3 linked regions of the Astyanax mexicanus genome follow. The protein of the gene in region 1 binds, or shares a complex with, the protein of each later gene. Links are inferred from orthologs where the notes say so. Each region holds a gene or a part of one and is shown in the gene's direction. Other genes may lie near its edges.

Region 1 (7,791 bases):
ATCATCCATCTTCTTTTGATTATATTTCAGAGGTTTTCAATTTGGTAAAATCAAAGAAACTCATACTGTTTAAATGTTCTCTTATTTTTATCTAGAGCTTTATATGACAGCTCTGGAATGCATCTGTTTTGTAAATTTAATGAGAAAATATTACTTTGAGCTTTCAGTTGTTTATTTGTTAGCATGCTTTATCCATTTATCCATTCTACAACCACCTTTGATTATGTGTTTGAATTAGTTTGATTAATCTAACTGAAATATAAGAATAATTCAATTCATAATCAATTTGGATTGCATTCAGACAAACCCAAGAAACTCACTGAAATCCCAGCAGTGCAGTGATACTGATATCCAGGATGAGGAACTCTACACCTCCTGCTGTCACTGTATATATTACTTTATTGATCCCTGAGGGGAAGCTTTCCTGGCTGCTGCTTGGTGAACTCACACCTGTGTACAGGTAGACAGGTATGGTCAAGTGTGTGATAAAGTGTGTAGAAAGAGATCTCATACAGTTTAAAATCCAGTGTGAATTCAGCTGAGCTCATTCTGGATATTCATTCATAACCTTATTAGAACTTAATTCTGAATATGAATGTAATTAGAAAAGTAATACACACTCATACTGGACATCAGTGTTTTTACAACTTCATACTTGATGTTAATGTTATTAAAGTTTTGGATAAGAATGCCATTAGCATGCTATCATTCTGGTTATTAATGTAATAACTACTTAATACTGGGTATTAATATTATAACTTAATTTTGAATATTAATGCTATTAGAACTTCATTCTGAATATAAACATAATTAGAACTTCATACTGGATATTAATATTATTATAACTTAATTCTGGATATTAATGCTATTACAACTTAATTCTGGATATTAATGCTATTACAACTTCATTCTGGATATTAATGCTAATAGAACTTCATTCTGGATATTAACATAATTAGAACTTCATACTGGATATTAATATTACTATAACTTCATTCTGGATATAAATGCTATTAGAACTTCATTCTGGATATTAATATTACTATAACTTCATTCTGGATATAAATGCTATTAGAACTTCATTCTGGATATTAACATAATTAGAACTTCATACTGGATATTAATATTACTATAACTTCATTCTGGATATAAATGCTATTAGAACTTCATTCTGGATATTAACATAATTAGAACTTCATACTGGATATTAATATTACTATAACTTCATTCTGGATATAAATGCTATTAGAACTTCATTCTGGATATTAACATAATTAGAACTTCATACTGGATATTAATATTACTATAACTTCATTCTGGATATAAATGCTATTAGAACTTCATTCTGGATGTTAACATAATTATAATTTTATACTGCATAGTTATGCTATTAGACTGGATTTACTAGATATCATTTTATTATTATAGCATTATTCTGAATATTATTGTTATTAGAACTTAATGCCAGATACTATGTCATTACAATTACAATGTGTCATTGCAAACATATTATGAATATTAAGGTTAGATGGATTGTATATTAAATATTGGTATTAAAGGACCATTAAGGATTAAATTTTTGAAGTAACTCATAACATGATTAGGATGTATCATCAGATATTAAGGAACCATGCTGAGTTAAAGTACCGACAGCTCTTATCAGCAGAGCTTTAGTCAGTATTTTCTTATTTGAACTGTGTGGTATGTAACGGTAATACATTTCCACATCTCGGATTGCCAGGTACAGAACACAACCGCACAAAAACAGCCATTTCACACACTTGCTTTCATTTACTACAGATTGTTCCTTTAAGGTTATTATAACTTCTTACTGGATATCGCTGTTATAAACATGTCAATCAAACAAAGTGTGTTCCACCTGTCTATGTTCAGGGCTCCTGAAAGAGGCAGGGCCTGCCCAAAGGAATCCTTAATGACAGATGGAATGGAGTGCCCCCTGCTGGAGAAGCCTCCATTCAGCTACAGCGCCCTGATCGTGATGGCGCTCGCCCACAGCCCCCGCCGCCAGCTTACACTCAGCGGCATCTACGACTTCATTGTGTCGCGGTTTCCGTACTACAGCAGGAAGGGGCGGGGCTGGCAGAACTCCATCCGCCACAACCTGAGCCTCAACAAGTGCTTCGTCCGGGTGCCACGCCCACAAGACGACCCGGGCAAGGGAAGCTACTGGATGATCGACCCGTGCAGTGAGGTGTACATTGGTGGAAGTCCGGGCAAGCTAACACAGTGCCAGCCGGCTAATCGGGCGGATAAGTCTGCAAAGATAGTGAAGTGGAAGGCGGGGCTTGGACTGCCCAGCTCCTTTTATTGGCCCATGGCATCATTCCTGGCACTGCAGCAGCCAGTGTCTGCCCACCAGCAGGGTCACAGATGGGCAGGAACCAGATCCGAGGTTGCCGGACTGGGCACTGCATCGTTTGTGCCAACCTCGGTTCCTGCTATGGGTGCTAATGGGGTAATGCCCGGCCAACCTGCCCTGGTGGCAGATTGCTCCAGTGCCAGGAAAGATGCCATACCCTCTGAGGGAACAGCGCACCCTATGGGAATCCTGCAGCAATTCCACACTGACCCCGCCCTTATTCACCCTGCATACACGTATCATCCCAGCATGACCAGCTCGTATTGGCACATTTGTATTTAAATTAAATTTGTATGTAAATAAATCTTGTTCATTATTTCATATTATTACTATATTGTGTTCTGATTTACATTCTTCTTCTTAATATTATTATCATAACTGTTCTGCTGGATTTTTAATTGCGTAGCATTTTCAAGGTCCAAGGTTTGATCAACATCATGGCAACTATCTTAAATACAATAGCAACCACCTTGCCACAATGTAGTAGTTATCTAGACTCCACCTTGTAATACTGTAGCAACCACCTGGGATATCAAAGCAACCAGCTAGCAACCACATAGGAATACCAATGCAACAGCCTGGGATATAATACCAACCACTAAGCAATAACTTAAAACAATCTTGAAAAAAATCTTCAAAACCTGAGCAACCACCTTGCTACAAGGTAGCCCCCATGTAGAGCCCATTTATCCAAATCCTAGCAACCACCTGGGATACAATTGCAACCACTAAGCAACATCACGACAACTGACTAACATACCATGCCAACCACCTTGTCACAATGTAGCACCCATCTTATCAACACCATATCAACCACCTGGTCTACTATAGCAAACAGCTATAGTATGCAGTATAGTAGCTTTGCATGCCAAAGCAACCATTTGGGATAACATAGCAACTGCCTAGCAACCACCATGCAACATTATGGCAAATGACTTGAATACCATACCAACCACTTTGTCACAATGTGGCATCTAGAGCCCACTATAACATCAATACTATAACACATTTTGGAACTGCTAAACAAACATCTAGCAACCACATTGCAATATGGTATTGTCTAAAATACCATAGCAACCCCCTTGCCACATTAGAACACCAATAGAACACACTGTGATACTATAGCATCAATTAACAACCACTTATGAAGAACACAGTACACTTTGAAAGTTATTGTTGTTAGCCTGAATATTACAAAATGCTATCTCGTTTGGTCTAAACGGTTTATGTAATGCATGCCTGAAATATTGTGAGTAAATGCTTATCATTCTTAAAAGTTATATTTTGACTAATTGCATGGATTTTCCAATATATAACTATACACACATACTATAACTTCAAATCTAATGGTAATGTATTTTTGTTGTGTTTATATATTTGTTGGTGTATAATATATTTATAAACAAACTAAAAAAACCTGGACTAAAACATATTTTTAGTTTTGCTTTTATTTGTTTTTTTTTGTTGTTTTTTTTACAAAAACAAAATAATGTACTGTAAAACTATTTTGCATTTGTTTGATGGTCATGTATGTGAAATAAATGTCTTTGTGCATTTGTCTGATTAAATTCCTGTTTTTTCTAAACTGCAGATGTGTGCAGATTTTCACTCTATAAAATGTGTGGAATAAGAGGTAGGATTAACAAGTGATTAACTCTTCTACCGAGCAGCTCCATCCAAGCAGCTTGCGTTCATTGTGGCATTGTTTCAACAAGCTTCTGCAATGTCACAATTTATTTCAGTCCAGTGTTGCATTATTTTTTCACCAAGATCTTACATTGATGATGGGAGCGTCTGACCACTTCACAAAGCCTTCTCCAGCACATCCCAAAGATTCTCAATGAGGTTAAGGACTGAACTATCCAAATGTGCAAATTATGATCTCATTCTCCCTAATTTATTCATTCATTCAATCTGGTCTATATTCAGTATATTCAGGTAGTCAGCTGACCTCATTCTTTCAGCACATACTGTTACTAAACACACAAACACACACACACACATATATATATATATAATATATTATAATACATCTCACATATATAATACAACTAAACATGTAAAATAATAACACAAAAAATGTAAAAAGTAAAAATTAATTCCTGACTTTTAAACGTTTATTCGACGACAAACTAAAACATGTTCCGGACTTTTTTTATATTATTTTATTAAATATAATAAAAGTCCCCGGAAGGAAGCGGCGCCATAACGCTGCGTTTTGTGAGCGTGACCCGCGCGCTGAAGCTGAATTACCCACAGAGAGAGAAAGATCCGTTTATACCAGAGTAAATTAGAGTTTACTACCCTAAACATGTGAGTATTTACATTATTAAACGATTTTACTGTTATTTTGGGTGTTTTAGGGAAAGCCTGGCTGGTTACAGGAGTTAAACGTCTGCCGTAGAAACACAAAAGCAGCAGCATGAGATTTAGCAGTTGTAAGTTAGGTGTTAGCTTAGCTACTTAAATATAATAAATTTAATGCCCATAGAGGACCTGAATATTGTGTTATTGCTTTAAAACTACTTTTAAATTAGACTAAAATGTCGATAAGCGTATTTAATAATGTTAAATAATTCTCTAATAATTCTCTTCTGCTGTTTAGTTGTTGTAAATCTTGGCTGGATAGTTATCTTACGTTAGTTATCCAATTTAACTCCTGTATTGTGCTTTTTCGTTCTGAGTTAAATTAAGAATAGTGAGCTGCTTATTAGAATTGTCTGTTCCACCTTAAATGGGGCAGAAGTATCTGTACATTCAGGCTCCTCAGCAATTCTTCTGCACCATTAATGTAGCTAAAATAGACAATTCTTACAAAAAGCCAACTTCAGTTTAAGGGCTGCACCGAAGTATTACTTTTATTTTTATATATATATATATATATATATATATATATATATATATATATATATATATATAACAATAAAAAAAACAATAAACCAAAAAATTATATATATATATATATATATATATATATATATATATATATATATATATATTTTTTTTTTTTTTTTTTTTGATTGATCTGAATATTTTTTGTTGCTTAATCTAAAGTTTTTTTCTGATAATCTAACAATTATTTATTTTGATTAATCTACCATTTAGCCTACGATTGAGTAATCTACTGTTTTTTTTTTTACAGATTAAACTAATGCAATTGTATAGACTGATCTACTATATATACATTTACTTTTAATCTAATACTTGGTTTTATCAGTTAAGCAAACAATTATTTTCTTATTGCTTAATTAACCTTTTTACCTTTATTATTATATAGTTTTTGATTAATTGAAAGATTATTTTTCCCGATTAGTCAATAGTCTAGTGACTAAATTAATGCTTGGTTTTCATAGTTTTGTATTTTGGTTTCAAACATTAAAAAGAAATCCTTCCTATTTGATGTTTAGTTAACTGGTTTAAAGAGCCAATCCGAACCTAGTTTAACTTATTTTAATATTAAACATTAATTTATAGTAATATGTGAGGGGAAAATGAAACTATAATTAAAACTATTTAATTAAACACTGTTTTTTAAGATTAATATACTGTGCTCAAACCAATCAGTGTCCAATTTCCTCCACAAATGCTAATAACATGTTGTGTCTCAGGAGTCTCCTAAACAAACCGAAGTCTGAGATGACTCCTGAGGAGCTTCAGAAGCGAGAGGAGGAAGAGTTCAACACGGGGCCGCTGTCCGTCCTCACACAGTCCGTCAAAAACAACACACAGGTCCTTATTAACTGCCGCAACAACAAGAAACTGCTGGGCAGAGTGAAGGCGTTTGACAGGTACGATACTCTGAACTGTGTGCAGAGGAGAATTTGCTCTTCTATTATATTAATCTCATTCTTGGTGTGAAGCAGGTGCTAGCCAGGCTAAGGTATTTTCTAACACTTTTACAGTGTGTAAGTAATGGTTTGTATGTTTGCATTGTTTGACTGATGGTTTGTACACAGGTGGCTTAATGTATTTTAAACAGGTTTGCAATTAAGTCTGAGTGAGTTTGTTGGAGCTGTGATTTGCTTTTCTATGTTGTCGTGTAAATTAAATGCACAGTATTTGAAACAGGAGCCTTTTTTCACTTTTCTGCTGCACTTAGTATACAACTGAACTGACTGTTTAGTGCAGTAATTGTTACAGCCAACCATTACACTTAACCCTGCCTATAAATGGGGATGTTGTAGCATTTGCACTCACTTTGCTGTCATTTGAGTTGTCCTTCTGAGCTGCAAACCAGATTATATAGATTTACTGTGTACAAATATTTAGCAATAAAAATATTCGAAACAGTACTACCTATCTCTATTAAACTGCTTTTGTGTTCATCATGTGGAATATGTAATTCGAGTACCATTTTGGAGGCCATTTGACCTTTGGTAAGTGTTCTTGAGGGGCTTTAAGGCCATGATGAAGATGATGATGATGATGATGAGTGAACACAAAAACTTGTGGTGGATATGAGATTAAATTAGAGGCTGGCAAAAACTAATCTGATCCAATATTGACATAGATAATTTCTGAGTGTTATTGTTTGCTTCTTCCTGTGGGATAAAATAGATAATTTAATATGTGAAAACTGTATTAAATTTATAAAATTCCATTTAACATTTTGCAGAGTGAGGTTGGTGTGAAATTGTGATTAATTGAGAAGAAACTTAAGGGCTATTAGTTCTTTGCAGTTGCAATAAAGTGATCCAGTTGTTGCCATGACCTAAATGCAAATGGAGTACTAGTGAACTTGCACGTGTCTGAGTTTTATATGGAACATTCATGATGGTAAAATAATAGAAAGTCTAAACATATATCATCTTTATATGGATTCCTCACTCATGTTAATTATTTTTTTTTATTTATAAAAAAACTTGACAGTTTTCGTGTCTGGTTCATTTTACCACCTTTTACCATATTTTTGTGAAACCAATTAATTTTGCACAGAATTTACCAAAAACTGTTTAATTTTCCCTAATATATACACCAACCCAGGCAGATAGACTGGTGTTTGTGATTGTTAGTGGATTACAGTCTCTCTGTGTTTTATTTGCTTTCAGGCATTGTAACATGGTTCTGGAGAATGTGAAGGAGATGTGGACAGAGGTGCCCAAAAGTGGAAAGGGCAAGAAGAAGTCCAAACCAGTCAATAAGGATCGCTACATCTCCAAGATGTTCCTGAGAGGAGACTCGGTCATCGTCGTTCTGAGGAACCCTCTCATCACCGGCAAATAGACTGTCCACATTTACAGAGCGAGTCCAGTGCAGGCGAGCTGCAGAACCGACCCAACCTTAGCACTTCTTCACCTCTGTGTTGAGGAGAAAGTGCAGTGTTGGGGGTTGGAGGGAGGTATCAGGGTTTGTAACAGTAGAAGAAGGGTCTGCACTGGCTGGCATGTGCCCTAAACAGGGCTGTGATTACA
Region 2 (7,141 bases), on another chromosome or scaffold:
TTGATATTCTCTTAAAGCAGTGTTTCAGTATTTGAATGTAAACAGTTCAGCAGCGCCCTCTGCTGCTCATACAGCAGAAGTGTTATCAGCACCAGACAGTGACTGCACGGGCCGCTAGAGGGAGCCCAATAATAGAGAGTCCAATAATAATGGGAGTAAACGGAGCTAAACGGTCAAAACTTAAATTAAAATATTGAATATTTATCTGGCCGGGTTATTCATTTCATTTTAAACTACACTGATGTATAGCAAATAAAACATACCTATATATTTCAGTTTTTCTTCAGTGCCATGAGCTGAGTTGGTTTAATAAATCCGAAATCGCATACTTAAACTGTAGAGTTCTGGACTGTTTCGGGGTGAGGACGCACTTCTCGCCCGGTAAAGCAGAACGCTCTTTTCAGTACACGACTACGCAGCTGCTGCTGTTGTTGTTATAAAAGGGTAAAATGCAGACCTTAATTAATATATATTAATGTGAAAAATACTACCATTTACATATAAAGTAGGTCAGGTAGGTTCATATTTAATCGTTTATAATTTCCTCTTATATAAGTAATACACAGTATTCAGTGCTTATGACTTATTTAGAGTTTGTACATATATATACAGTACAGTGGCGTGAAAAAGTATTTGCCCCTTACACCCTTTCTTTTTATTAAGGAAAAAAGAACTATCCAAACCAGTCTGGCCCTATGTGAAAAAGTGTTTGCCCCCCATTAATGAACTGCAATTAATCACACTTTTTGGAAAGCTGTATCATTTAAATACTAACCACAACCAGGCCTGATTACTGCCAGACCTGTAGAAACAAGAAATCAATTAAATAGAACCCGTCTAACAACATTAACCAGATAAAATATCTAAAAAATTATACATATACAGTCATACATATATCACATAATGTCCCAATCTGAAGAAACTCAAAAACAGATGAGAAAACAAAGTCATTGATCACCTATCAGTCTGGAAAAGGTTATAAAGTCATTTCCAAAGCTTTGGGAGAAAAAATGGAACACTAGTGAACCTTTCCAGGAGAAACAAACTGACCAAAATTATTCCAAAAGGGCATGGCCAACTTATCCAGGAAGTCACAAAAGAACATTACTACACCCTTCTCAAAAATCAGGAGATGGGGCACGCAGTCACGTGGGGGCAGAAGACATTTTAAAAAGTTTTATTGTTCAGTACCGCTGTAAGAAAGACTCTGGCATTGAATCTTAGCCCCGCCCCCTTCACGTGCAGTTTGGTCTAGTTCTACTGCTGTTTAGTTTTACTCTGTTGCTCCAGGCAAATTACCACTTCAGGTTGGCTAGATCACAGCCTCAAGAGAATAGCATGTGAGGAGTTGTGTGCGTGTATTCCAACCAAACCACACACCATTGAGACTCTTGCACATGTAATTGAAGTGTGAAGTTTAATAAAGAAACGAAAAGGAGACAACTGCTTCATGGTGTTCTAACCGACACCCCCCATACAACACTCATCCCATCATCAGAACCCACACATACAGTCCTTTAGTGGTCCTCACCAACAACCGCTTTTAGTCAGATAAGAGTCCTGTAGCAACTGAAAAACAAAGACTAATGCTTTGAATTAGTTGCTGTTTTTTATTTTAGTTAATTTATAAAAGAAATTCTTACACCTACAATAGCTATGATATATATTTTATGATTAAATTATGTAATTATTTGCATGAATTTATTGTCACCTCTTCTCTGAAGGGTTAGAAGCGCCTCACTGCACACCATTGAAAAATTGTCTTTAGGCCAATTCTGGTGCATTTACAGTAATGTAAATTAATGTAAACTGTCCCTGTTAAATAAACTATTTAAAAAATGGTATACGTTTTTACTGTTTTCTAAAGCCTTCTGAATTTTCTTTAAAAACACTACATAACTATTACACTGAGATCTACTTTTCTTTCCATATATTATATTATGTTGCGAAATGCACTAAACAATTAAAGCTGTGTAAATGAGCATGATGTTGAATTTATTTCCAAGAACAAAGAACAGAAAAGCTGGTCTGCAAATAAAAAAACAAAGTTCTAAAGGTTATGTGTGATTCATCTTCAGTGTCTAAAAAATGTACTTTTCTGTGTCTGAAGAACAGACTTTTGAATAATGCACAGTTTAATCCCATTATTCATTTAGTGCTACACAATACATCTGTAACATGCCAGTATGGTTTGTGAATACTTAAATTTTTTTTTATCTCAATTTAATAACACTCATGTCATCTCTGTTTCACTCATAAACTATTTTTTTAAACACCAGAAGTAAGCAAACAGCGCAATCATCGCGAGATCCGCTATTGTTCACGTTGGTCGCAGGTGGAGACTGTCCGACCTGACTTCTCTATGGTGGCTCTGAGGTGCAAAACAAATAAACATTTCAGAAAAGTAAATTACAAAATTACAAATTTACATACGAAAAATAATTACATTCAAGAATACTAAATTACCAAAGAAAAAAATATTTTACATGGGCAAAAAAAAAAAAACATTACATTTCAGAAAAACAAATTTCCAAAAATTGAAACAAATTTTCAAGACGCAAAACACTTTTACCAGAACTGAAACACTTTTACAAACTGTGATTTCTGACTAAAAGGGAGGGTCTAACACACAGGTAGTCAGGGGCTGATCTAGCCATTTTAGGGCCCTAGGCAAAATAAAAACAAGGGGCCCTCATTCTTGAAACATACACACATAAACCAAATAACTAGAGATGAAACGATCGATCGGCAGTGTATCGGTATCAGACAATTTTCAGCCAAAATACGGTATCGGCGATCGGCTTAAGCAGTTTATCAGAGCTGTGTGTGGATGAAACTGGTGAAACCGGTGAAACTGCTCGCTTACAGGAAGCTGCAGTTCCTTTACACACAAGTTATATCTCTCCTAAAAAGCGTTTATTTTGGTCAGTCACACTTGTGTTTATTTACTAGCAGCGTAAATTACCAGTGTTTGCTTTAGGCGTGGATGTAATTAGGGGAATCTGTACCAGGTTTGCCAGGCACCTGTGTGTCATTAATGTGGCATTTGGCCCCGCCCAAAATCGGTATCGACGATCGGCCCATCGTGGTAAAAGACGATCAGCGATCGGAATCGGCCCCAAAAACACTGATCGGTCCAGGAGGTGTAAAAAAAAAGGTCAGTTTTGGCAGTGCATCTTTGATTCTTTTGCTCTCTGCCCGTTTCTTTCGTTTAGCAGAACCACTTTCATAACTCCGCTTCATTTTCACTGTGACAGCCCTCACTCTAGTCGCGTACAGTTCCCGCTGTTTTGGTTTGAAGTCACGTTGTGTGGCACATTGCTACGTCATCATATTATGGACTAGTTCAATGCAAGCAAGGGAGGGGGGTATGTGTGTTTGGACAATTATTATTTAGACATTAATTCGGTATTCTACTGATATTTTTAATATAAATATTTTGTTCTTTTCTTTACATAAGTAACAACTTAACATTGTTTTTGTGTATTTACTGTTGCTGGGATGGTCAGATTTGGGGGCCACTATGGAGGACAGATTTGATCTACGCCCTAGGCAAATGCCTAGGTTTGCCTAATTAAAGAACCGCCTCTGCAGGTAGTGCTTGTTGCGGACCCTCCGAGAGAGAGTCGAGTTATGGACAAAACAAATTATATATATATATATAATGTTTTTTGGCATGCATTTTAGGAGCAGCAGTAATTGTCTTTGTTGCTACTGCCCAGCGGGGTTCAGCTGCTGTACTGTCCTGTCCTGTCCGCGGGGCAGTGGCTGAGCATCATGTGGGGTGTTTCCGTCAGGAAATCGCAGTTTATAAAAGTGTTTCAGTGCTGGTAAAAGTGTTTCGTGTCTTCTTCACGAAACGCCCACCCCCCAGGTGGTGCAGGTGCAGCCGTACCTCAAACAAGCCTAACGAGAAACTGATTTATAGGACCCCATTCATTTGGACGGTATCTGAAACGTCTCCTGGTGGTTAACAAACCTCCTCCCTGACCACACGCCCACGGTCGTTCTTAACTACCATTCATTCCCACAATGCAGTGCTGAAGTGCCCGGATGTGAGGCGGTGTATTTGAGGTGCATTGTGGGAGCGGGAGAACGCTGCTCGGACGCGCACGCTGCTTTAGAGCGGGTACAAAGACTTCCTCAGCGCAAAGACTCCGGTACAGAAATATCCTTTATATCATTGTTTTACCCGGTTTAATCCTGTTACTCTGTATCTGTGGGTAAAGCCGAGTTTATACAGGCTTTATTAACTGTAAATGTGCAGCAGAGAATCGCTGATTTATTGCTCTTTCTGTACTGTTAGCCTGTTAGCTTTAGCTACTGAAGCTAAACTCTAAGCCTAAAACAGGAAAATTTATATCTACATCTAAACCACCTTTGTATTCCCTACACCCTTAAACATACCTCTACTTCGGGCTTTATCGGCTGTAGTTATTGGATAGTATTGTCTGTTTCCGGGAGAATATATGCTGTATAGTTAGAGGTGTGTTTAGCTCAGATGCTAAATATAATACTCAGCTCTCCCCAGATACAGACAAACTTTACCAACATCTGTTAACTGCTCTAATTATACCACTACTAAATAACTATAATCAAACGGTATTAATTATGATAATGACTTACAATAATCTTTCAGATTGACTAAATCTTCCCTTAACATGTAAGATAAAGAGTAGAAATGCACCGATGTGTGAGTTCTGTGCTAATGACGATTTCCAATATTACAAACCTAACTTAAACATGCCGATGTCGATATACACATTTATAACGTAAAGACTACACATCCCTGTATAAATTTAAAAGCGAGCTTATACCCGTATGTTTTAGCTTTTAACCAACAATAAAATGAAAGGTGCAGATGACTCTTAAACAACAAAAAAAAACATTTATTTACTTATACCGACAAAAACCTCGCCTGGTGTGACCCGCAGCATATCGTACAGAGTATAAAATCGTACTTTTTATTCATAATTTATACAAAACAATCTTGGTAATTTAGTTTTTTACTAAATCCAGTAGTTTTTAATTTTAATAATTGGTCAGATTGTTTATGCTTCTGCTGAATGTCTGAACCCTTTTATATTTACATGAAATAAAACATTTGCAGTTGTCTGTTCTTGAAAATAATAAAATAAGGTTTAGTATTTCAGTGTTATAATGTATTTGTACAAAAGAAAATCCCTGAAATATTGGTATCTCCTATCCCTAGCCCAAACCATGTATTTGCTAGAAAATTCCAGTTCTTAAAACTAGAGTTCATTTTATGATCAATGAAAGCTTTATTAAATAGGTATGCACATATTAAATGTAATGGTTGTGGATTAATGGTTTCCTGAATCTGTAGTTGAGTGAAAGTTAAAGCTTGAGTAAATGGTTCAACCAGTTGTTGGTGATAAAGGTTGATGTCTGTTGTACAGAAGTGCATCACTGCTCTTCTCTGGAAAGGGTGTAATATTTGGCTTAGTTTGATTTTTTTTTTGGCATTGCTAAATGCCATTCTGTAAGTTTATTATTATTTTTTTTATAATTGTGGGCCAGTAATGTATTTGTGCTGTCTTTGTTGGTTTATTGTCTGATGGAATGGAGCTAACATGGCTGAAAAATACTTCATCAAATATGTTTAAAACTGTTTTCTTAACTCCACTAAAAGCTAAAGATGCAAACTTAAGATTCTAGACATATTGTATGTAGTGCTGAGTGTTTATGGCCTAAAAAAAGATTTTTTTCACACAAAAAAAAGATTTTTGATTTATGTTTGATTATTTCTCCCTACTAAAATCAAACTACAGATGGCAAAGAAATGGTTCAAAACTAGGTTTACATGTAAAGAAAAAAATAGTTTAAGAAATATATGCGTGCGTTTTGTAAATTGCCTTAAAACTAATTGGAATTAACTGAATTAATCAGGAAAAATCGCACAGCGCTAACTACGTTGTGCTGAGCTGGACTAAATTGTTTCGCAAATTCTCTCTTTTGATCTGTTACTGAAGTCCTTCCTGTGGTGACCCCCTTTCTTTTTACTGCAGATATCTGAACAATGTCGATCGGTGTACCAATCAAAGTGCTTCATGAAGCGGAGGGTCACATTGTGACCTGTGAAACCAATACTGGTGAGGTGTACAGGGGGAAACTGATAGAAGCTGAAGATAATATGAACTGCCAGGTAATGTCTGCACTGTTTGTCATGTAGTTATTTTGTTTCCAATTGAAAAGTTTTGTTTTGTTTGTGTTTTGGGTAAACTTATTGCTTGTAACCAAGTTTCAGCTGTCCCATCTGTTATGCCCAAGTTGCCAGCCCCACCTCCACTCTTGACAATGTAAATAAACTTCTTTACTAGGAGTGGAACAAAAGATTGGTATTAGTGTTTTATAGTTTGCATACATAATACATTGATACATGGCATCAAATATGGATATTTTCTATTGAAACAAGGGTCCTCTATACTCCCTAAGACTTCCTTTAGATCTGTGAAACTAACACCCATAAACACATTCCTGGTATTTGCTTATTTAGGAGTATTTAATCCTCTTCAGTTACACAGATGTTGAGAATTCTTTTGCAGTATATAGTGTTGCAGAATCACAGTATCATAATGCAACGTGAGATGCCCTGTACTTTCCACACTGTAGGTGTATCTGAGCAAGTGGACCTATAATACAGTTGTTTAAACTGGCAACTTGTGTATGTAGTTGTAGGGGTAACTGCATTGCACAGTTTTCTGTTCTTCCTGTCTTTCTTTTTCTGTGTATTAATTAAAATAATGTTTGCATTAATGAATACTAATGCCTTTGGATTTTAGATGTCGAATATTACTGTGACGTACCGAGATGGCAGAGTGTCGCAGCTGGAGCAGGTCTACATTCGCGGCAGCAAAATCCGCTTCCTCATCCTACCGGATATGTTGAAAAACGCTCCAATGTTAAAGAGCATGAAAAATAAGAATCAAGGAGCAGGGGCTGGGAGAGGCAAGGCAGCTATTCTTAAAGCACAAGGTATGGCACTGCATAATCGTAGTTGATTGTATACAGTTTTCTGATACTCAATGCATTTTCATTACTTTCATCTTTTTTTTTTTATTATTATTTTTTTTATCCTTGTCTGATTTTATAAATTTCAATATTTATCCTCAATTTTACT
Region 3 (8,153 bases), on another chromosome or scaffold:
CTCCTCCTCTTTCTCTCTCCTCTATTTCTCTTTCTCTCCTCCCTCTCCTTTTCTTTCTATCCACCCATCTATCTATTATGAAATTCTTTGTACTGTGATCACACTTTTGTACATTTATTTTTCCCCCCCCCAAGAGGACAGACGTTTCAGGAATAATAAATTTAGTAAAACCCTGACCGTGTGTGCGAGTCTGTGATTTCTGTTTAATTCCTTTGTGTTTTATTTATTTAAGCAGAAGATTCCAGAATGTCTAATAAGTCTAATGTAGCTTTAGCTAACAAGGAGTGGAGGTTTAAAGAAAGGGGTACACATGAAGGTTAAACGACTCCTTTTAACATTATTGTTTCGAAGTGGCAAACTGTTTTAGTGACTAGAATAATTATTAGAAAAACAACAGTAGTCTTAATTTATAACCTGTAAGAGAATCATTATCAGTCTGTAAAGCTTGGGTTGTGTTAATTCCAGCGCTGGAGCACCAGATCCCTGCAGAGTTCTGTATTTTATTTTTTTCAGGCGCAATCCAACCTTATTCAACTCTCTTACTGATTGCCAGGTTTAGCAGGTCTGTTGGAGGAGGAAAACCTGCGAAATTTTCTAAACTCCAGCCTCCATAGCCCACTCCAGCGTATTTATGGGATTGTCCTGCTCTTTTTTAGAAAAATGTAACAAATGATGTATTGCTCCGTTCAGGAGAACGGGTTCCCTAGTGGAAGCTTGCAGTTGTTCATTAGTCGGGAGATGTAAAGGTAGGAAGTAAGCATTTTTAGGCTAACTAATATTATTCCTGCGCATGTTTTAACCCAGTTGGACCTCGCTTGTGTAGTTTTGCACTTAAAACAGACCGAGATATATCTGTTGCCAGGCAGAGAAAACTTTTATCCAATTAAATGGCAGTTTAGCTTTGACCACAGCATTGGAAAAATTTAATTCTGCACACTAAAAAGTAAAGCATAGCAGAATCCCAGATAATGAGGCAGAGTAAACCCGTTTTCCCCACATCCTGTTGAGTTTTTTAGGGATGATTTATAAATGTGAAATACAAAGATTTATATAAAATAATATTTCAAATCTAAAAAGGTAACAGTTGATAAGCAGTTCATACCACATTTTCCAGTTCTGATTTATGAAAACATCCTCGAGCCAAGCTGTTATTTTCGTATGGCTATTAAATGGTAAAATAGTAAATGCTCCTGTATGTTTAAAAAGGGATGGATGGATGCGGTCGAATTATGAAAATCATACTTTATACTAAAACTGAGGGAGGGCAGACTCACTGTCCTAGTTCTGTTATAAAGAGAGCTGGTGCAGAACTGCGCCACCTGCTGGCTGCTCAACCATCATTTTTGTCTTTATCTAGGACTAATACACACATATCATCTACCAGAACAAAGGGTTCTCTGGAGACTGGATTGTCTCTAATTTACTGTCAGTTGTTGTCAGATTTATTTCCTCCCTGTAAAACAGATCAGTGTCAGTGAGTTAAAGCTAAACCCCCTTTAAACTCGCTCAGCTCCAGCACTTAATGAGATTTATTTTATTGAGCTGTTTGTTAAATATAGATTCCCTTACAGCAGAACACAGCAGAAGCAGTGGGAACAGTCCATCCATTCCAACCCCCACCCATCAACTAATAATGTAGTAACAACTGTAGTTACAACGATTATAAGAATTAAATACACACCAGAATAAACTAAACAAAAGTATAAGCATAGTAAATATTATACAGGAATAGAACATTAATATAGAATGTTTATATGCATTGAAGGATGTGATGGGAGATAATCACACCTTCACACTATTTCCAGTGGTTTCATACCTTTATATATAAATACAGTAAGGGAAATAATTATCCCTTTCTGATTTTGTATATTTGCCCGCTGACAAAGACATGAAGAGTGTATAATTTAGGGGAAGGTTAATTTTAACAATGAGAGATAGAATGTCAAAATAAAATCCAGAAAATCACACTATATTAGCCATGTATTCCATTAAGAATTTTGGCACCTACAGACCAGTTAGACGCTCCTAATTAACTCGTTACCTGCATTAAAGACAGCTGTCCTTAATTGTCACCTGTATAAAGGACTTCTGTCTACAGACTCAATTAATCATTCAGACTGTAACCTCTACAACATGGGCAAGACCAAAGAGTTTCTAAGTATGTCAGGGACAAGATGCATGAGGCTGGAATGGGCTACAAAATCATAAGTAGTATGCTGGGTGAGAGGGAGATAACTGCTGGTGCAAAAATTAGTACAAAAATTGAAGAAATATGGAACATTAAGGACACAGGGCTGAGCAACATTATGATAAAAAACTTGTTGCCCTGACAGACTAGAGATGGACAACAAACTGTTAACCGCACACTGATGACGTAATGATATTAATAAATTACATACAATTGCATTGGTCATATTGACTTACATGTCTTGTACATAAATGTATAACTGTTTGGATGAAGTTTGTGTTGGGTTAGGGGAGGAGACACCCAAAACACTTGAGCAAAAATTCTGAACAGAATCTGCTTATTGGAGTGACCCAGTCAGAGCATACCTGTCAAGTTTTAGATTTAAAAATAAGGGATATTTTCCTCTGTACGCTTAAAGCCGTCCCACCAGCCCAACGAAGGTTCAGTATCCCTTACATTTTAAGACAGGTTTACAAAAAATCTAAAATAACCACAAGTGAACCACTTACACACTACAATTAGATTATCAGAATCTGAAATGTTGTGGACATTCCTACATATGTCATTCTTTTAATACAGCCAAATTAAAAACCCTTTTCTATATATTTTTTAAGAAATTAAGATTTCATGTCTTTTTTGTAATAAATGCACTCTTTTATATGATATATTTTTTATATATTTAATGGATTTAAAATTGAACAAAGGGTGCACAAATTCTGCAAAATTACTGTTGGTGACCTAAAAATAGTATCATGAGCTTTTACTAAAAGGACATGGACCAGATATGTTTCATCAGTAAAAATTAGTCCTAAGGGGCCTACACAATAAATTTTAATTAATACTTCTTCCTTTTGATCACTCCACCCCTGATTAGTTCAGTTAATTTCGGTTCTCTCCACATTTCTAGTTAAACTGAGTCACAAGCTGTATTTTTTTATTTTAAAAGGTTTAATCTGTGTGTTTTATTTTGGAGACGAGTATTTCTAAGCAGCTATCAGAAAAATATCATCACAGTTTACATGATTAGCCTACCGTTACCTTTCTTTTAGAAAAATCGCTGAATATCCAGATATGTTTTAACATCAGCAGCTCCGACTAGCTGCCTGAACTCACAGCGACGGAGGGGGCTTCCCCACACTGACCCTCCTTTGCAAGCTGATTGGCTGTTTCTCCTGAAAGGCGGGCTTTCTCCTTGAATCGGCTCCACGATTGGTTAAGAGACACAGAGCGGTCAGTGCCCTGTCTCCTCAATAATATATATATTTTTATTTTAATAGAATACGGGAAATTTACGGGAAAATACTAATACGGGAGGACGGCGGGAAAGAGGAGTAAAATACGGTAGTTTCCCGGCCAAAACGGGAGACTTGACAGGTATGAGTCAGAGCCCCAGATTTCAGATGCTACGGATTGACTTGGAGAGAGACACTTGACACATCCAAGGAATATAACAGAGCTAAAGCACTTCTGCCAAGAAGAATGGGCTAAAATTCCTTCTGAATTATGTGATTTGGAGGGGGGTGGGGATCAACCAGTGATTACTAGGGTTCACTTACTGTCCAATGCCACTTTGAGCGTTGATATATATAATATATATCAATATATTTGACATTTTTAGATGGATGGATGGATGGATTGATGAATGGATAGTTAGTTTATTGATCCCAGAGGGAAATTCTGTACATCCAGTAGCCGTTATACACAGTACACCGAAGTTCCAAAAGAAGAAAACAATAAAATGATACATATAAAAATGTGTAAATATGTAACCAGTGGACAATAAATAAACTAGTAGTGCAGAATAGGGTAAAACAGTAAAAATAATGTAATAGTGCATCTCAGAGGGTGTGTCTGCAGAGATGGTTGTGTGTCCATAGAGTGACCAGAGTTGCCGGAATGAAAAAGTGTCACAGAGTCTTTAGTTTGCTGTGGTGAGAGGAGTTGAACAGTCTTATGGCCTGAGAGACAAAAGTCTGTTTGTGGAGCAGGACTGGGACAGCATGGGACAGCGTGCCTGGTGATGATGCTGTACAGAGGATGGTGAACATTGTCCATGATGTTCAGCAGCTTGGTTTTGACATTTTTTTGCTGAAAACCATGGAATTCCAAAAGGTTCACATACTTTTTTATATTATAATAATTTTTAATAGTAATTATTAAATATGATTATAATATATTATAATGATTATAAAGATGATTATAATATAAATCATAATCATTAATAGTTACATTAATGATATTGAGAAAAATAATTTAAAAAATTCCCACAGCTCTATTTATTTTAAATTAGTTTGAGAGTAGTTTGCAAGTGTGAGAAACTCACTGTAGAGTTTCTTAGAAGGAAAACTGTCAGTAATATCTAATCTGATGTGAATGTGTATGTAACACATGTGGGCTTTCAGTGTCTCCATAATTGTGTGATTTATAAAACTTGATTTAATGTTTTGTTCTGTTTGTTTTATTTCAGTTTTATTTTCTGAGTGAACATATAATCCCTGTTAGTATACTAACAGTGGCAGCTGGCTAACAACCCTGATTTTATTCTATAATTATTGCCTTAAACAACAACCTAATAACTGGTATTTTAACATCATAATCAGGTGAGAACTAGTCATATAGAATTTAAAATCACTGAATTTTTATATGGAATTTAAATCACTTAATTGTGCAAACTATTATGTCCTTTAGTGATGGATGTTCACTATGTGTCATTTAGGGACTTAATGAGTTAAAAAGTGAGGGAGAGAGAGCTGTGAGAAACTTTACACAGATTTTAAAGGTTCTGTAACACATATTTACATCACCATGGGCTCTCCTGGGTTAAGTGAGCATGCTAAACCTGGCCTTTAGCTGTGGGATTTCACTGGACTCTTTTGTTTCCTGGAGCGTTTGTCCATAGCAGGCTGCCGTAGCAAAGCCGCGAGGGCTGCCGGGATATCGTAGGTCTGCGTGAGGCGACGGTGAGACATTTTTACATTTATTTATTTGTTTAAAATGAACAGATTAGAAATATGAAACGCGGGCTGCGACTCAGCTCAGTCTACAGGTTTCTGTGGTGAGCGGTAGGAGGGTAAATTTCAGAGCTTTGCTTTAAAAAGACGCGGTTTTGTTGACTGTTTGTGTTTCGACTGGAGGCTGGGTGGATTAAAGTGTGAAAAGCGAGTTTACGTGAACCAGTTCAGGTTCCATTAGGGCGGTAAAACATGTTCTGGAAGACTCGCTTATTTTAAGAGGAGGGCCGTGGCTTGTTTTTGTTGCCTAGCTAGGGTTAGATATGTAGCTTAGTCAGATTTTTGTTTGTGTGTGTGTGACTCCTGTGTTATGTTCATCTGTAACAAAAAAAAAACCGTCCTGAAGCAAGTCAACAGTTCACAGTGTACGTGTGAGCTAACTTTTACACATGGTGGCGGTAGTTTCACACACCATTGCTGTATCTAAGACTCCCGAAGTAAACAACAGGAGATCCCTCCTACATACATTCATAACAGATCATCATTTGGACACAGCGTGATGTTATGTCCAAATTAGACAGCAATCTTAAAGTCATTAGATTTTAGTAGGGGAAAAAGGTGTCATACTATTGCTTCACAATATTGGAAAAAAATGTTGCAGTATATATTGCAAAATAAACAATATATATTATTTTTTGCCAATTTTTGTCCAGAGTAAGTGGTCCAATATATCCATATATTAATAATGCCATCTGTGTAACAGAACAGTGGGTATTTCCTATTTTGCAAAAAGTAACCTTACTTGAATGGTTTAATTAGTCTTACATGACATTGCATCTCCCACATTGTGAGTACTGTGTGATAATGCTGAAATTATATATTATTATATATTAGGGCATGTTTTTATAGTTCTTTTAGGTGATGTAAAGGGGCTTCTATAAATAAAGCGTACATGATGATTTTTTTTTTTAACACAGATATTTTTGATTATGCTGACATTTGTAGGGATGCACTAATGTGGTGAATTCTGGACTGATGCTGATATCCGATATTACACAATTACATATTCCAGTGCTTATATACACATTCATAACTTACAGAGAGACTAGACACCCAACTGGGACTTTATAGATTTAAAACTAATAAAAATAAATAAAAATGAGCTTAAATCAATTCATTTTAGAGTAATGCAACTAGCGTTGCTCTGACCTTTTCCGGCATGCAATAAATACTTCAGGAAATATCAGTTTGAAATACTGGCCATACCAAGTGATGTGCAATTATGTCGAATTATATTGGTATCAGCCAGTAATTGTTGTTTTTTTATTTTTATTTTTTTAAATAAAAAAAGCTAGACCATCAACCTAGTACAGTAGCCCTGCCTACAGGTGCTCTATTTCCATCTCAGTTGTTATTAAACATTCAGAGCTGAAAAGCAGGTACTGTCCTTGTAGTGTCTGTATTGTTGTTGATTTGATCTGTGTATTTATGTTCTCCTGCAGGTGACCCAGGATGACCACAGCAGCGCGGCCAACGTTTGAGCCCGCCAGAGGGGGGCGGGGAAAAGGAGAGGGTGATTTGAGTGCGCTCTCTAAACAGTACTCTAGCAGAGACCTGCCTGGACATACCAAAATCAAATACAGGTGAGCTCCTTTGTTCTGAACATACAGCCCTCATTTTTAAAGGGTTTTTAAATTCAGAATGATCTATGTGCTGATAAGCATTTTAGCTTAAAAATAATCTTCGTCCGCAATAACCCACCTAAAAATACATATCACGTGACCGGTTATGTGCATCATTCACTATAATAGTAACCCCATTCTGTCAGTGTAAAAACCAATAGTCATAGTGCCATCATACATTCCACACCTAAGGTAGTAATTGTACTTTTTACTTATTTATTTCTCTTACATTTAAATTTAAGTTACAGGTGAATGTTTCATTTATATTATATGGCCAAACAAAGTGAACACATGTAAACAGTGATTTGTCTGGGTCTAGGTGCTGTATTAGACACTGATTGTGTTTAATGGATTGCGATTTAAGTATGTGTGTGTGTGTGTGTGTTGTGTCTTTTAGGCAGCCCACACAGGATGCTCCTGAGGAGATCCGCAACCGTGACTTCAGGCGTGAGCTGGAGGAGAGAGAAAGAGTCGCAGTGAAGGGCAGAGAGAGAGGAGCCAGGGGTAAGGGAGAATGTGTGTTTTTGTGTGTGTGTGTGTGTGTAACAGATGTTTAAAAATGCAGTCTGATAATCCGGCATTCTATGTAAACTATTGTAATATAAGTAAAATATACACACACTCTGTATCTGACTGTAACAGGAGTTTTTGTTTTGCCTTGTAGAGCATACCACATCCTCTTCCTCATCTTCATCCTCCAAACGACCAAGACTTGATCAGATTCCCGCAGCTAATCTTGATGCAGATGACCCGCTTACAGATGTATGTATTCTGTGTGTGAAGTATATGCATGGAGAGTACGGGATGCATAGCATTTTTAAAACAAAGTTAAAACAAAACTAGTTCCAGACATTAGACACTTTTTATTACAGTAGTATTGTGGAAGGAAGCTAAGAAAACTTTTAAACTGGAGATTAACATTTCTGTTAGCATACCTTTATGGGAATTGGTTTGTTTTACCTGGTTGATTTAAAGGCACAGAATGTGATTTTTATATACTTTTTTGTAAAATTAATTGAATGTTTCCTTATGGTTTACTAGTTTACTGTTGTTGGTGTTTCACGTTAAAATGTTAAAATACACACAGTGAGAGACGTGAGGCTAAGGAACAGCCAAAAAGTAACATTTCTGACAAAGAAAAACCAACAAAAAGATTTTAGATCAGGCAAGACAAATGCAAATTCTGCTGAGGCCCATGGAAGGTGGAGAGCCCTAAGAATATTGAAAGGCATGGCAATAAGGCATAAGGATGTTGCTCTTTGCTTCTTGATGGGTGGAAAACGTACATTTGCTGTTTTACAAAAATAGGTCACTATTATTTTGTGCGGTTTG

The links.
Region 2: snrpd2 (region 1) and snrpd3l share a complex: the UniProt entries of both Homo sapiens proteins name them as parts of the SMN-Sm complex. The link is inferred for Astyanax mexicanus from reciprocal best matches to the Homo sapiens genes SNRPD2 and SNRPD3.
Region 3: snrpd2 (region 1) and cwc15 share a complex: the UniProt entries of both Homo sapiens proteins name them as parts of the minor spliceosome. The link is inferred for Astyanax mexicanus from reciprocal best matches to the Homo sapiens genes SNRPD2 and CWC15.

The regions. Positions count from the first base shown.
Region 1 is NC_064416.1:9,430,386-9,438,176, reverse strand, and holds the start of snrpd2 (small nuclear ribonucleoprotein Sm D2), read left to right. Parts: upstream 1-4,563; 5' UTR 4,564-4,691; coding exon 4,692-4,693; intron 4,694-5,988; coding exon 5,989-6,168; intron 6,169-7,428; coding exon 7,429-7,603; 3' UTR 7,604-7,791. Other genes in the region: foxg1c (forkhead box protein G1c), read left to right, coding at 1,934-2,662. UniProt on the Homo sapiens protein: Plays a role in pre-mRNA splicing as a core component of the spliceosomal U1, U2, U4 and U5 small nuclear ribonucleoproteins (snRNPs), the building blocks of the spliceosome.
Region 2 is NC_064424.1:38,884,033-38,891,173, forward strand, and holds the start of snrpd3l (small nuclear ribonucleoprotein D3 polypeptide, like), read left to right. Parts: upstream 1-4,038; 5' UTR 4,039-4,160; intron 4,161-6,029; 5' UTR 6,030-6,040; coding exon 6,041-6,166; intron 6,167-6,803; coding exon 6,804-6,996; intron 6,997-7,141. UniProt on the Homo sapiens protein: Plays a role in pre-mRNA splicing as a core component of the spliceosomal U1, U2, U4 and U5 small nuclear ribonucleoproteins (snRNPs), the building blocks of the spliceosome.
Region 3 is NC_064408.1:38,128,949-38,137,101, reverse strand, and holds the start of cwc15 (protein CWC15 homolog), read left to right. Parts: upstream 1-5,050; 5' UTR 5,051-5,148; intron 5,149-5,239; exon of another isoform or gene 5,240-5,258; intron 5,259-6,641; 5' UTR 6,642-6,651; coding exon 6,652-6,782; intron 6,783-7,218; coding exon 7,219-7,325; intron 7,326-7,485; coding exon 7,486-7,583; intron 7,584-8,153. UniProt on the Homo sapiens protein: Involved in pre-mRNA splicing as component of the spliceosome. Component of the PRP19-CDC5L complex that forms an integral part of the spliceosome and is required for activating pre-mRNA splicing.